Linked DNA regions of Yarrowia lipolytica. The protein of the gene in region 2 binds, or shares a complex with, the protein of the main gene of each other region. Links are inferred from orthologs where the notes say so. Each region holds a gene or a part of one and is shown on either strand. Other genes may lie near its edges.

Region 1 (8,016 bases), about 1.4 Mb from region 2:
CGCGTGCTATTGACACGTCGCAACTAACACACCTATCACTGACCCTTCATGATGATGGCTTCCTCAAGCAGTTATCCAGATCGTCTTTTGACAACCTCGACTACCTGAGGCTGGATGTGACAGAAGACACTGATACTGTCAGCAATGCATTTCGCATTCAAGAAGAGTCTGGCGGAACGCGCAATGATGGCTGCATTTCTGGCGTGGCTACATTTCTAGCTCATGTCAACGCTCTCTCTCTCGATTTGATAATCCACTGGAACTCTTCGGTGACTCATCATAGGCAATTCTGGCCCATGTACTGCGGTGAGATGGCTGGCGCTCTGAGCAACTCGCAGCTTCGGCATTTACACCTTGAGTGCAAGGAGGATGACAGAGGCACACTTATGATCCCATACGTGTGCCTCAGTTACATCGTTGCCAACCTCTCACCTCACTTGGAAGGTCTTGGTATTTCATATCCCCTCCTCGACACTGACCACAGTTACAATCGATCCTACTCGAACTATGGAAATGGCGAAACGTTACAGGATCTCTTAAAGTACCTTAATGTCAAGTATCTTGATCTCCTAAACTGTGGACCCCCTCCGCGAGCATGTTCCCTAGTTGGTGGGGGAGCTGTTGCCATACCTGGATTCGAAGATGGCCACCACCCTGATGATTACAGCCGCGTCATCCGAGAGATACTACCCGCCATCCCATCCACTCGCTACGTGGGTATTGGATCGCATGTTTTTGACGTAAGAGATCCTTCCCGGTTACCTATTGTTAGAGACGGACTTCGAGAGTGGTTTATCGACAAACTCCTGGGGCTTGAGAATACCTCATAGTAATTCTCACGACCATCACGAATCATGATGACTTTTACGACTTTCACGACTTTCACGACTTTCACGACTTTCACGACTTTCACGACTTTCACGACTTTCACGACTTTCACGACCTTTACGACCTTTACGACCTTTACGACTTACGACTTTTCCGACCTTATGACGCTTATGACCTTTATGACCTTTACGACGCTCACGACCTTTACGACCTTTACGACCTTTACGACTTACGACTTTTCCGACCTTATGACCCTTACGACCTTTATGACATCTATAACCTTTATGACCTTTATGACCTTTATGACCTTTATGACCCTTCTGATGACTTTATGACTTTATGACCCGCTTTATCCATGATCCCCACGATCATCACGACCTTGCTATTACGACACTGTTTATAAAGTCCTATGACCCTTATGATATTAATGACTCTAATGACTCTAATGACTCTACGATTTTCGTGACCTCACAGCACACACAACATCCCTTCAATACATATTTAAAAAAATAATGATATCTATTAGCGTACAAATCTATGCCGATACCGGTATCATAGTTACTGACAACTGAAAAATTATATGTGTAAGTTGTCAACATTGAGGATGCCAAGGGTACTTGTATCTGCGCATGAGGTATGCCAAGAACCATGAGACAAATTCGAGTGTACTGTTCTTGTAGCTACTGGATATCGGTAGTACAAAAGATGCGCTTTCCGACACTGTAATGTCAATAGAAGTTTGTGAAATAATATACCAAAATACCAAACACCAAGCTCGGAACTTAGATGATCGTCAAAATATTCAACCGTCGTAGAATCTCGAAAAACAATAATGATCCGTCCGTTCAGATTAAAGTTGGAACTGCGCCTCCACACGGCACTTGAATTGGTCACCTCAACATCATTAGTGGTATGATAGAAAGATGGCGGTGATGCTGAAGCTGGCGGTTGCCTCTACCAAGTCGGGTTTTGTTTTCTGTGATCTAATATAATTGCGCAAAGATGCGGTATCCCTTCGTGGTTTCACCACTTATAAGCCTACAGTGTGCACACATCTGCAGTGTTAAACCATGCCAGTCCGGGGGGGTTCTAAGCAGATACAACTTTGATCACCAGAAGGGTGCGTGAGCAGCTGCGCAAGACACCCGACACTCACAACCCAGACTTTACAGCTGCTAACCACACGTTGACCGCCACAACCAGGATCCGTTGACGACACAAATTAAGGGCAAATTCGACAAAACTAGCATAATCGCATTGCTATAAAAGACACGGTTTCACCATGGGAAAAGCAGCATCGAAACTGTCTAAGGACGAGCTCACTGAGCTCAAGAAAGCAACCTACTTCGACCGAAAGGAACTGCAGCAATGGTACAAGGGCTTTCTCAAGGATTGCCCGTCTGGCCAGCTGAACAAGGAAGAGTTCCAAAAGATCTATCGACAATTCTTCCCATTCGGCGACCCTTCCATGTTCAGTGAATACGTCTTCAACGTTTTTGACAAAGACAAGAGCGGAACGGTGGATTACAAGGAATTCATCTGTGCGATCAGTGTAACCTCGCGTGGAACCCTTGAGGAGAAGCTAGAATGGGCCTTCCAGTTGTACGACATCAACGGCGATGGTAAGATCAGCTACGATGAAATGCTTGCCATTGTCACGGCCATCTACAAGATGGTTGGCTCAATGGTCAAACTACCTGAGGATGAAAGTACACCCGAGAAGCGAGTGGACAAGATTTTCCGTCAAATGGACAAGGATCGAAATGGTGAGCTGACTCTGGAAGAATTCCGAGAGGGATCCAAGGTTGATCCCACCATCGTCAGTGCTCTTAATTTATATGACGGACTTGTCTAACGAGGTCCTTGATTGTCGTCCACAACCTATGTATCCAATATACCTTCATATTTTGTTTCATTCAGCTTATTAAATGTTATAGGAAGCATGGTTCCTTTTAATACTGTTATCTCTTTGTAGGTCACACACGGATAGTTAGCTACAGTATGCTCTATTTACCCAAAACGCCAGGCAGAGGCTCGCTACCAACGCTCATCATGAGCTTGATACCGAGAGTAATGGTAATCAGAGCGACAACTGCAGTCCAGAAGAAAAGCTGGAACTGGACGCTCACGTCCTGCTTCTGGCACAACTTTCCTCCTCGGCCAGTCTTGCACTTGCATGTGTAGGCAGACTCGCCACGGCCCTTGGAGCAAGCACCATGGCCTGAGCAGTTATTTGTCTTCTCGTTGCACTCATCCTCAGAGCCAAATCTGGCAATACCAATAGCCTGCTTCTTCTTGGAGGCTGCTAGGCGGCCACGTTTCTCCTTGTTTGTAGCTCGGAGGCATGAGGGGGCGTACACGACGGTGACAGGATTCTTTTCGTCGGCGTTAGAAATCAGCTCTTCAATATGGCTTGACGAAGACGACATTATGAGGGAAGCCTTGGCAGCTCCATGCTTTTGTTCCAGTCGGTGACTCAGTTTCTGAATAGCGCCCATATCGATGGCGGACTCAATTGCGTAAAGAGCCCCAGAGTCGTCGTTAGCATGATCAGAGAATAAAACGGTATGGGAGTCCACAGGGCCCAATCCCATCTGAGGAAGAGCGAAAAAGAACTGCTCCTTCTCGGCCAACTGGTTGCCGTTGAGACCACTAGACAGACCCAGGGTGTCAGCCAACACGAGGTGGGCCTCAGCTCCATTAATGGACTGTTGAGCAGCACCCGTCTGGGGGTATGTAGCAATGTAACCCATGCATTCGGATGAGGCAATAGCGGTGGCGGACAGCGCCGACAGCAAGGCGAAAAACTTCATGGTTGTGGTGTCTCGTCGACTGTGCTACTGCTGTTGTCAACGCACACGAAGCATGAACCCTCGATTTAAAGTTTGATGGGAGGTTGTTTTATTGGTACGAGTACAAGCGTGTTAACTATAGAAGTACAGTAACAGGTAACACACAGTGATCGACAGCTACAGCATGACTTCTTGTACGATGACTTACGGTCCTGACATACCTGGGGAGGTTCTACAACGGCGCCAGAAGAGAATTCAGCAAGCTGCCAGTGCCCTTGAAGTGGTCCAGGCTGGACCGCAACTGTCCGAAGAGGCAGACTCATCAGACGACGATGACTTCGGTCCATCACTAACAGGTAACCCCAACATCAGCGAGACAGAGGCTCTCAATAGGTTAGAGGAGAGGAGCAGAAGCAAGACATGGGTGAATATGGACCCTGCTCACAATCCCAACCGGGATGGGTGGATGCAAAATGTCCCTGCGGAACTCTCAGGGACTTTTTCGAGTGAGTCGGCGCAGGATCGTGCTAAGGAGATGATGGGGTTTAAAAAATAGTTCACCTTCCACTCGTACATTCGTTAATACATATTTATATACAGATGCTTAAACTCGCTCGGCGACCCAAATGGCTCCTCGACATCCTGCTTTGATGGTTTCCGTGAGAAGCCAGTAAGGTCTGGCTTCATGCGAGTCGTTTTCCACAGCAATCTCGAGATGCTCCAGCTCCTCGTCACGGAATTGCTTAACAATGCTTTTCAAAGAGGTGATCTCTTCGTCCTTGGACCGCTCTTCCTTGGGAGGGAAGTTTTCGTGTAACCATCGCAACTGAGTGTTGTAGTGTCCACCAATAACAGTTTCTACGGCTTCAGTGCAAGCCATGGCACCTTCTTGACCAAGAAGGGCCGTGGCACAGCCTAGACCAGTTGCTGCAACCTTCCAGATCGGGGTAAGCAGAGACGGCCGGACTCTGTATTTCTGTTGAAGCTCGTTGAAAGTTCGTCTGTGGTGCTGCTCTTGCTCCCACATGTGCTTGATGAGAGGCTCGATCTCAGGCTTGGTTCGGCTGAGAACCATGTACTGACCTCGGTAAATAAGGTCCGCACCAAGTTCTCCAGCCTGGTCGACACGGATGAGTTTGGTAATAAACGAGGCCTCTGCCTTACTGAGTGCGTGTCGGGCCATGTCTGTTTGGAGGACTGAGAGAAGATGCGTAAGGTGGTGAAGTTAACTTTTGTCGGCTCATGTCCAAATTCATTCATCCCAAGTCCGCACTCTGCTGCGACGCAGGTGTAAGACTCGAACAGGATGTCGGACGCTGCACATGATAGAAGTCCCCAAATTGAAATCGCACATACATCACCAGGATCGTAGGCTGCTCTCTACATATCCCCACCTCAATTGTCAAGACACGGGGACACCCTCAATGACTCGGAACTCACTTGCTGCCGATGAAAACTAATCTGTACTCAAATGCCACCTCATATGATAACGAACCTTAACTGTGTGATCTGAGTAAGCAACTCGGCTTACAGTAGATGGGAAGCATAGAGCCAGAAGACGAAGAGGGTGAATAGAAAACATAGTAAAAGGGCTACGAGAACCAAATTATTATCGAAAAAAACAAGCTTATCTATATTACCAGTCGTCTCCTCCACCATAATCATCAGCGCCTCCCGAATACATATCGCCGTCGTTGTTGTTACTGTTGTCGTCATAATAGTTGTTCACAACCGTGTCACCGCCATCATGGTGGCCACTCATCATGTCTCCAATAAGCATACCACCAAGAAGACCACCACCAACACCCATGGCGGTAGTTCCCCAATTTCGTCTGTGAGGTTGCTGCTGCTGCATCTGCATAGGCGGGGGCTGGGCATACATAGGTGGAGGCGGGGGTTGTTGGTACATGGGCTGGGGGGCCAATAACCAGGTCCAGGGCCATAACCAGGTCCAGGGCCACCGTATCCGGGGCCCGGCCCTCCGCCATATCCGGGGCCCGGTCCTCCACCATAACCTCCGCCACCGTGGGGACCGCCGAAGCCACCAGGGCCAGGTCCCCCGCCGTATCCTTGAGGGCCTGAACCACCACCACCATATCCACGCTGCTCCTGGTGAGGTCTGTTGTTGTTGCTGTTGCTGTGGCTACTTCCCCGAGAAGGAGGCCGGTCGTATGATGGCGGACTGTGGCCACCGGAGCCGCTAGGCTTGTCCCACTGTGATTTTCCGTTGGAGAGGTCGACATAGTAAAAAGTCTTGTAGTTGGGGTCCCATTTGGCTAACCAGCCATCGGGGACGCTGGGGGGAGTTGGCTCGTTTGGCATGTCGTTGCTGAGGCCTGGGCTGGACTGAAGATGCCGTGTTACAGCTAGCTACGTTTCGATCGCTGCACTTCGTGGTCAGACTTTATTGGGATTTGAGATTTGGGTATGGGTAGTTTTGGCCAAGTTTACTACTGCACTACACACAGGGTAATTAGGAGGCTGTGTCAAATGTGACCGGAGGCTGTGTATGACTGATCCTTCACGTGCGACCTTACAAGCAATGAATACGGTGAAGGAATAAACTCGTCGCGCACTATTATATGCCTCTACGAGCGATATCATGATATTTAGATTTGTAATACGCGCCTTTGCTCCGGGGAACTGCACAACCTCTCAACAAGATTATGGTGGTACAGTATCGTAGACAGTAAGTATGTACAACCCCACCTGTCACCCCGAACATAAAAGTACCATACAAGTGTGATTGAATAGCGCCGTTGTATTTTCTTGTGGGTTAGACACAACTCGACATATACTACAGGTAGGTGATTAAATCTATGCACTTATATACAGGCTTTCTCAAAGATGAAATTTCTTCCCAGTGGAAGCAAATGCTTCGGAGGTTTCGGTCTCCAGAAGCTCTGTTAGGGTGGTGCCGTCACGCAGATAAACCCATTCACCGTCGACATAGTCATAACGCTTGGGGCCGGAAATGGGGGAACTTAGCCAAATCTGTTTGTTCGGGGGTTGTTTGTTGATAACGTAGGATCCAGCACCAGGGATTTCCAAGCTCATCACGCCTTGAGCTAGATCCACATCCAGCTCATTTGAATCGACCTCCTCAGCGTATTCTTCATAAGCAATCAAGATAGACTCCAAATATTCATCCGCTTGAATGTGGTAATCCTCTAATTCCAGCTCGGTCGCCTGGAGAGAATATAGTCGGAGCGTTTCATGATGTGTAGTGATGTGTGGCAAAGTAACTGTTCTTGTCGCACGTCGCACGCCAGTGGTGAGGGGTCTGCGAAGAGGTAGAGAGGCCACTCCTGTGGCTACTCTTGTGGCCAGTGCGATTCGGGGCACTGTTCTTAGCGATCTTATCAAACTCATGGCTTTCTGAAGGATCGTGGTGAAGGACGATGCCTGGGAGTAAAGTTCGCCTCAATTCATGCAAGATCACCAGATCGCTCTTTTCTCCCCACGAATCCGAGTAATCAAATTATGATGGCCGCCCACTCTTCCACGGTACAATTAAATGTTACGGAGCCATATAAAATGAATTCATAAGATGTATGCGGCAACCTAAACTTGGCTGAATGATACTTATTTTCTATTTTGCCACCATATTCTGAAGTATTTACTGTCCTTTTGAGGGGTCTGTCGGCGGTTCAAAAGCCCGATTGGTTGGAATTAAAAATGTCTGTACAAGTACGATATATTATTGTACGATACAAGGACATACTACGATAGTACAGTAAGAACTACTTGTAGTGCTTCTACTCGTACTTATACTTGTGCGATACATTAGCTACAATCAATATACTTGTGATGTCGCATGCCCGCAAGCGAAGATTACTCGTTGCTAACTACACGTGAGATACATTTGGAAGACTGCCCAACGCTGTTATACTTTGAGTTGGTCGTAAACAGAGTTTCATGCGTGCAGGAATTTGCGATGTAGCAACACCATCTGGGTGGGCTAACAGCTGGTATTTAGGCTGTTGTTTCCTCAGATGAGCAATAGACAAATACGATATTACATTTCCAAAAGATTCACAGGATACGAGACTTTAAAACATTTCATTTTCTCTGCTTTTCGGCGGTTGTGTAAGATTTCCAATTTCGGTGAGTAGTGCTTGTCAACAAACAGTCTGACCCCTTCGGCGCATGAGAGACTTCAATAGAAAGGGTAAAACCGAAGTTGGAAACATACCACACACCAAACCCACACACAATACACAACAGGCACAGGCGACAACGTCGAAACAAGACAACTCACGATAAGCCGTGCAAAAAAACTGGCAGAAGAGACACGTTCAAGACACTAGAGCCTTTCCTGGTCCCAGAGCAACCCCTGTTGTCCCTGGTGATTCATTTTGAAGGAAGACCACTGCAGTCAACTGATACACGACAC
Region 2 (8,134 bases):
TACCAATCCCACTGGCCTAGTGCACTTGTACCTACACCAGAAACAAGGCACTAAATATAATGTGCGTGGTCGCGACACTGTCACTACACAAATTATTGTACCGCAGCACAATATTAGTCGTCCCAATGGTTATTGAGTCATAGCAAGTGTCAAGCGCATCGTCGAGCTAAGCAGGTAATATACGGCTCGTGCCTGTCTCTGATACAGAGCTCGTTCGTATGCGTCTTATACAGACATGCCGAGTAGCTGTGAGGAGGTGTTGAAATAAAGTGAACTGCTGAGAGCCAGGCACTATCATAAAAAACTCGCGACTACTACTTGCAGTACAAATACTCAAAAGTCTGTGTCCGTTATGATGAATCCAGTCACTATGCTACATCCACTAAACGCCGATCATCGAAGGGGTCACGGATGCAGTTTGCAATATACTTGTGCATTCAGACCCAGATACAAGTACAAGTACAGTAGTAATTGTTTTGGTATGAAGGATGTGGTTATCAGGTACCAGTTTCGTGGCAGGTCTCAATATCTTCTAAAGGTCCTTACGCGAGTAACACTGATGTGAAGGTATGTGAAAAGTATACCCTTACATCGGCAGTAGGCCTGCCATTAACCAGTCTGTCGTATCTCATATCATTTCCACGATCTATTTACATTAGTTTCTACTTTTGGAGTCACTAAATCGTTTGAGAGCAGCCAGGGCAATGACTCCCTCGATGTCCTCATTCAGAGCATCTACCGCTGCCTCCGCAACAACGTTGACACTGAGAGGAGGCTGGATGAACTGTGGAAGAGCAGGGAAGAAGGATCGAGCAACGGTCTGGGCGCCGAATCCGACCTTTAAAGCCTCGGCAAGAGCGTCTCGAGGTGTAGACTTGTGAATGCCAAATTGACGGTCCCCGGAAGACTCGTACATGAATGCGGGTCGCAGGAACACCGATCTGAGGTTGGTGAGGTCGGAGATTTCGGTCTCTGCCATTCGTTTGGAGGTGATATATCCATCGGGGATGAGATTGCTGGTCTTCTCGGCAGACACCATGACGTAGGGCTTTCTCTCGTCCATCGGAACAGTGTCGGCAAATGCTGTTGCCGTCAGAACTGCGCTCAATCTGTTCATTTTGTCGTAGGAAAAGTTTGGGTCCTTGGCCATAGGATTGGAGCCCTTGACGAGACCACACAGGGCGTCTTTAACTCCTCCGTTAAGTCCCTGCTTGTAGTTGCCGCCCTCCAGCAAGATTCCCATTGAGTGAATCACTGCCGACGCCTTCTCTAGCTCGTTGGTGTATGTAGAGGGCTCAAAGACGTCAGCTCGCTTCCATTGGACCTTGGACATCCAGCTCTCGGCGTTCTTGGGAGGTCCAGATCGAGAGATGGAAGTGACTGCCCATCCCTTGGAGAGGGCCTGCTTGCAAATGTGTCGTCCTGTGTTAGCAGCTGTGTGTGAGGTGTGTGTTGAGACTTGCTACTTACCAAGGAATCCGTTTCCGCCAAAGACAACGAGGTTTTTCGACATTATGTGCTGTGGTGGTAACACTCGATAATTTGTGATGATACGACAAGGTTCGGTGGTAAGGTTTGTGCTGCGTGTGTGATGCGGGTTGTTGAGGCGTTGACTGGATGTGGTGATGGTAGTGGGTATGTAGATACCGGTAGGTTGTGTACATGCTGTATTGGATGGCAGCTAATGGATGTTGGTGTGCTGATTATCCTTGGTATTGGCTACAGATACTGGTGCTGTGTTTTTATGGATAGCTTGGTCGGCTTAGCAACCGTATGGCAAAGTCGTCTCTCTTACACAAGCTAGGAAGGCTCCATATAGCCCCTTCAAGTGAAGTTGTCTGGGCGCGATTCCTCCTCAAGATACGCAGGCCAGGCACAAGTACTTGTACTTGTAGCTCCAACCTGCCCCAAAGGTAATATCCCAGGCCACAAAGCAGGTGCCACTTCCTCTCGTCAGTCCTTGCTATAACTCAAGTATTGTTCCACGCTCACATGTCCGTGGCTTACTAATTCAACAAACCTCCTCCTGGGTTCGACTCTCACCGGGGTACTATAAGTAGTATTATGAAGGCGCCTACAGGGGACCCCAACTGTCATGATATCATCGGATATCAAAAGATAGCCCATCGCCAAGAAAAGCAATCCGGGGAGAGATAGCCGATCGAGAAGTGTGGGGATAGACACAGTATCCTTGAGCCTTGCACCAAAACCCAACAAACTACTATATACGGCAACACTCCACCCCCTCCGGAATCCACCAATTTATTATTCCGGATGCTCTTGCCCCACCAAGTTCCAGTCCGTGATAGTACGCTTGGTAGAGAGGGTCCCACATGTACGAGTAGTGCACAACCGCATACAAAAGCTGCGATATTCCTGCACAGAAAAGTAGTGGCGGATATATATTGATTGATCAAATAACATGTGTGCACAGCCCCGCACTCTACGTGCTCGTATTCAGCCTCATAGAGTGTCACCACGTTGTCGCAACCAACCATCATCCACCTTAGCTCGGCCGAGTCACGTCATGTATTAGGGGCGCGCACCAATGTACACAAAGTTGCACTAACAAGAGCTTCTTGCGCGTTGCAGCTCTACGCCGCAAAGTGCCGTGCCGAACACAAAGACCTACTCAGCAGCTCCAAGGGCGCTCGGCCAACGATATAAATACACTCTCACCTCCGTATTCATGTTCCCTGCATTGCGGTTCTCACCATGGGCAATAGGCTTCATGTTTGAGACCCTCTCGCATAGAAGTGGCAAAGGTAGGCGAGCAAAGCGGAAGCAAGCAGGAACGCTGGAATTGGCAGTAAACACAGCGTAGCCCCGGCGTTCGAAGCGGCTGAACGACACAAAGCGACATGTAACATCATTGCGGTTATGCTCAGCCTCGCCCTCGTATCATCGGGTCTCTAAAGTGTCTCTTGGCTTTTCTCGGGTTTGGCTTCCGAGCAACTGCGTGTGTTTTGCCTGTATAGCGCTCCACCAAATTATTCCAAGAGTGTATCGGACAGCATTCTCTGGAAGTCTACGAAGCCAACTTGTACTCTTCCAATCTTCTTTTTATTACCTCGAAGCTATAAAAAATGACCTGATCCGCGGCAAGATCGGAGCCCAACCCTCATTCTAACTTGTCCATTCTTTTGCTTGTCCATGACCATTATTTAGCCCTTCAAGCTGCCTAAACGGTTTTTGGAGTTGAACTCTTGATCCGTTAACCTCAGCATTTAAATCTTTTTAAACGCGCATGAGATGTTGCTGCCGGAACACTTTAGGAATGGGACGTAGTAGGGGGCGTATCAGAGCCCCAGAAGAGAGATTTGAACACAGAACTGAATATAACAAGGCTCGAATAACCATCCGGTTACCCCATACATCGTTATAATCCCACTACTTCCTCCCACCGACACTCTTCGACCCCAGACATTAAAGCCTATACAAATTACAAAAGCCTACTCTGCAGACAGTAAACTCAGCCTAGCACGGCTCATGTATCTCTCAATGTAGATCTACCGTACAAGTGTACTTGATGGCCGCCTTCTCCACTCCCAACCTCCTTCGTCTCCATCGACACCAATGAAAATCTCAACGCTCATAGTCGTGGCAGCTCTCATTGGCCTGTGTTTGGCTGCTCCCCCCAGTGCAGAGGAGATGGGAATGACCCCAGACGAATGGTCCAACTGGGTGTACTCCCAGTATGGTGTCTACGGAATGCGACCCAGTCGAGCCGCCAATCTCGTGGGAATGATTCTCTTCATTATCCTGTGGGCTATCCAAGGAGCGCTGGCCTTGTACTACCGACAATGGTGGTTTGGAGGAGCCTTCTTCTGTGGCATCTGTCTGGAGTTTCTCGGATACCTGGGCCGATTCCTGTCCACCTGGGATCTCCAGAACTTGAACGAGTTCATTCTACAGATTGTCTGTCTGACTCTGGCACCTGCCTTCATAATGGCGGGTGTCTACTGTCTGCTGGCAAAGTTTGTCGTCATCTACGGAGAGAGCTACAGTCGGGTAGCTCCTCTGGTGTACACATTGATCTTCGTGGCCTGTGATTTGATTTCCATTGTCATCCAGGCTGTAGGAGGAGGTATTTCAGCCACTGCTCTCTACGACAACAAGTCTACCGACGACGGAACTCACATCATGGTCGCCGGTATGGCTTTTCAGGTCTTCACCATGTCAATTTTCTTTATCATGACCACTGACTTCTTGTGGCGAGTGCACAAGGGTATCCGTAACCCCAACGTCGCGGACTCTCGAGCCAATGACCCCGAAATCATTGCTATTCGAGAGTCGCCCAAGATGAAGTACTTTGTCATTGCTACATACATTGCCTTTGGCTTTGTCTTCACTCGGTCCGTCTACCGAGTCGTCGAGCTGGCTGAGGGCTGGTACGGCAATCTTCTTCAGCACGAGGCCTACCTGCTTGTGCTGGACGGTCTGATGATGCTCATTGCCATCACCATTCTGACCGTCTTCTACCCCGGCTTCGTCTGGGGCCGAACCCACATCAACGCCGGAGCTGTCAAGCATAGCAAGAGCGAAAAAAACGAGTTCCAGGACGTTCAGCAGGAACATTACCCCGAACAGCAAGAATACCCGGAACAGCGAGACGATGGGTCTTACGGAAAGGAGACCGAAAGCAGTGTTTAGAAGTCATATATAATGTATTATTTTGTTTTGAGCTACGAGAATCTAAGGCATGGGAGGCTACCCTAAGGCCCAGATGTTTGAGACATAGGACACTGAGACCAGACATTGTGAGACAGTACTAAATAGGTACTCGTGCAAGCACACATGCAAGTTCGAGACGGTACAATGTAGATACTTGTACGAGTACTCATTATGATGACACTCACAAGATGCTAGTATCCAGATCTAGACTGATGCACCCTCCGAAGCCGAATAAACAAGTTGACACTAGTAGCCAAGACTACAATAGTGCATGTAGCATCGTTGGATAGAGAAGAGTTCCTTGGGGAAGTGCTGTATTTATGAGTAAAACTAGGGATCGTATAACCATGACAAAATTACTGAGCAAATATCTCAAATCTGTCACCGACTCTCACTTTTCAAATTTATCGCCTTTAACGAACATGAACCCACATGTTTTTCCACCGAAATGCATCCTAACATACACTAAAACACAATGTCACAAGGACTTTTGCCAGACCTTTGGAAACCGCTCAAACAACTGAAAACATGCTTAACCACGATATTTGGACTCAGATTTTCTCTTTGGTCGACTTTCGCACCGCGCTGAACCTCAGATACTCGTGCAGAGAGCTCTTTCATCTGAGCAACGAACTGTCCGATGCAGTTTGGGCTCTATACCTGAAAGATATCGGGGGAGAGTTCTGTGAGAAGGCCAAAAACAGCGTCATTCGACTCAACAGACCTCTGGTTTTCACCACAGGACCTTTGACCAAGTGCAGTCAGAAGGCAGGTCCTCCTAGTCCGAAGGCTGGGTTCCTCAAACACCTCGTATACATACAAGGAGACGGTAAGATCGGGTATGTGGTGAACTATCGGGAATGGAGTGTTAAAGCGGTGGAAACTGAAGGAGGAACTGATACTACGTCCTGGTACTGTTTCTCTGAATTCAACAAGGAGTTTGAGTCCATCGCCCTAGAAGAAAACAGCGTGGTGTGGCAGAAACGACAGGGACCAGATTTGAGAGTCCAGATACCTATGAAATACCAAAACACAAGACACAAGCATCTCTTTAGAGCCTCGAATCCAAACCAGACCTTTGTCTATCTCCATAGATACTGGGAAGACTCAGAGGAAACAGACAAACAAGACTTTCTTAGTGACATACTGTTTGTGAACTGGAAGGAGAGGAGAATGAACTTGTTGGAAGGATGTATAACTATGGCTTCCGCCAACAGTGTCAATTGCGTCCTTATAAATGGACTGCTATTCTTCAAGGGACCTAACTACACTCTTCAAGTGAAGAACATGCTTACTGGAGAACATCATCAGGTGAGTCCCAATGGGGTGGAAATCGGTTACCATGATGATAGATACGTGTGCTACAACACTCTGGAAACAACACATGTGATAGATACACTCACTCTGTTAATCTACCCTCTGACTAATGTGCTATTCGACTTTCGCAGTGGAATTCAGCATATTGAAGGCCAGTTTATAAGCTGGTTGCACCCTGTAGTTGGTTCAGGCACCTTAAATCTCAAACCAGGCCAAGTCATGAACCTCAGTGACGTGTGACCGGGGTTAAGTACATTCACATCAACCTACATACAAGTATACTGCATACACCTTAACGTCTATATCAATAATACATTAAATACATACTTAACCAATATGTTTGTCTTGGCCAGTCGTTTGTGGGCTTGGAAGATAATCGCTTATTTGATGTTAACGACCTTAACATCGAAAGTAAGCTGGGAGTTGGGGGGGATACCGGGCAGCTTCTGCTTACCGTAGGCCATTCCAGGGGGGATAATGATTCGTCGCTCACCCTTGACCTTCATACCCTGGACACCAATGTCCCATCCTCGGATGACCTCGCCCTTACCGACAGAGAAGTAGAAAGGCTTACCCTTGGAGTTGGAGTCAAAGACCTTACCGTTGGCGAGCTTGCCAACGTATCGGACACCGACCTTGGAGCCGACCTTGGCGGAAGGACCCTCACCGACGGTTCGGTCCTCAATCTTGACACCACCCTCAAGCTGTCGGGTGACAAGCTTGGGCTTGGGCTCGGAGGGAGTGGGGCCCTGCTCGAGGTTCTTGGTGAAGGCAACCTTGGCCTTCTTGGCGGCCTTCTCCTGCTTCTTCTCCTCGGCGGCTCGCTTGAGGATCTTCTTAGGCTCGACAACGGGCTCTTCCTCCTCATCCTCATCGTCCTCATCGTCCTCGTCGTCCTGCTCCATGAGCTCGACAAGTCGCTCGTCACCGTTGATGACCTCATCCTCATCGGGAGAGAGATCGTACTCGCCTTCGTCGAGCTCGTCCTCATCATCCTCGTCGTCCTCACCGAGAGCAAGGAGCTCATCCTCGTCCTCCATGTCGTAGGGGTGCTCAATGTAGTTACCGGAGAGGTGGATGGCGTAGGAGCCAGTGACCTCGAACATGATCTGCTCACCGGGGGTGATAACGAGATCAAGAGTCTGCTGGTATCCAAACTTGGGGGAGAGAGTGCAGACAACAAAGTCCTCAATCTCACCCTCGTCGTCGTCGTCCTCATCGTCCTCCTCGAACTCCATCTCGTCGTCCTCGTCGTCATCCTCATCGTCGTCTCCTCCCTCAACCTCATCGAGACCGTCCTCGTTGGCGGCGATCAGCTTCTTGATCTGAGCCATGTCCTCAGCAGAGACTTCGTCATCCTCATCGTCGTCATCCTCGTCCTCGTCATCCTCGTCGTCCTCATCGTCGAAGTTGTCGGCAGGCTTAAGGATTCGGAGAGTGGCGGGCTCCTCCTCATCACCCTCAATTCGGGCGGGATCAATGGCAGCCATGGTGATTCGCACAGAAACAGGGAAGTCCTGCTCAATGGGGGCCACGGGAATTCCGGGGAACACGGCCAGGGTGTAGGAGGCCAGGGGAAGGCAGTTGTTGGCGTTGTTAGACATGGTTGTTGTGTGTGATAGATACAAAAGTGCAGACCCAAGTATTTAAAATGGGCAAATTTTTGGAATAAGGTTGCATATGCACTAAGAGCTTAACGGGAGTGCTGTACATTTGGCTGGAGCTCGTGGAAGACGGTGAAACCGTTATTGTGGCAATGGTGGGATCTATCGAGGTAATTGGTAGGACACATGCACCAACATACGTGTATATGACATGTAGAACCGTCCACTGCTGTTAGGCGATATGTCGTCTTTCGCAGCCCATCAAGGCACTCTCAAACCCAATCCATGGAAAATAAACGTGGGACTATTTGGACTTGGGACTTGGTGCTTGCAATCGTTGTTGGTTGTGTCGTCACGTAACATTTATAGCAACTTAGGGACATCTGGCAGAGAAGGCTGCTTGGTCCAGTAGTGTGGTAGCCTTGAATTGGTCATGTGAGATTGTGATTGGTCTGCATTGGTCGCCCCCATCTCGAGCAATGGCTTTTTTCGTTCCCATGGAACTCTTTGGAACAGCAACACCATACACATTATTCATG

The links.
Region 1: YALI1_E32754g (region 2) and YALI1_E18269g share a complex: the UniProt entries of both Saccharomyces cerevisiae proteins name them as parts of the multi-subunit COQ enzyme complex. The link is inferred for Yarrowia lipolytica from reciprocal best matches to the Saccharomyces cerevisiae genes COQ11 and CAT5.

The regions. Positions count from the first base shown.
Region 1 is NC_090774.1:1,822,158-1,830,173, forward strand, and holds YALI1_E18269g (uncharacterized protein), read right to left. Parts: upstream 4,804-8,016; coding exon 4,225-4,803; downstream 1-4,224. Other genes in the region: YALI1_E18212g (uncharacterized protein), read left to right, coding at 1-830; YALI1_E18242g (uncharacterized protein), read left to right, coding at 2,111-2,683; YALI1_E18258g (uncharacterized protein), read right to left, coding at 2,835-3,641; YALI1_E18281g (uncharacterized protein), read right to left, coding at 5,382-5,942; YALI1_E18291g (uncharacterized protein), read right to left, coding at 6,462-6,992. UniProt on the Saccharomyces cerevisiae protein: Catalyzes the hydroxylation of 2-hexaprenyl-3-methyl-6-methoxy-1,4-benzoquinol (DMQH2) during ubiquinone biosynthesis.
Region 2 is NC_090774.1:3,274,006-3,282,139, forward strand, and holds YALI1_E32754g (uncharacterized protein), read right to left. Parts: upstream 1,514-8,134; coding exon 1,471-1,513; intron 1,423-1,470; coding exon 656-1,422; downstream 1-655. Other genes in the region: YALI1_E32776g (uncharacterized protein), read left to right, coding at 3,577-4,653; YALI1_E32792g (uncharacterized protein), read left to right, coding at 5,203-6,231; YALI1_E32816g (uncharacterized protein), read right to left, coding at 6,372-7,595. UniProt on the Saccharomyces cerevisiae protein: Component of MIOREX complexes, large expressome-like assemblies of ribosomes with factors involved in all the steps of post-transcriptional gene expression. Component of a multi-subunit COQ enzyme complex required for coenzyme Q biosynthesis.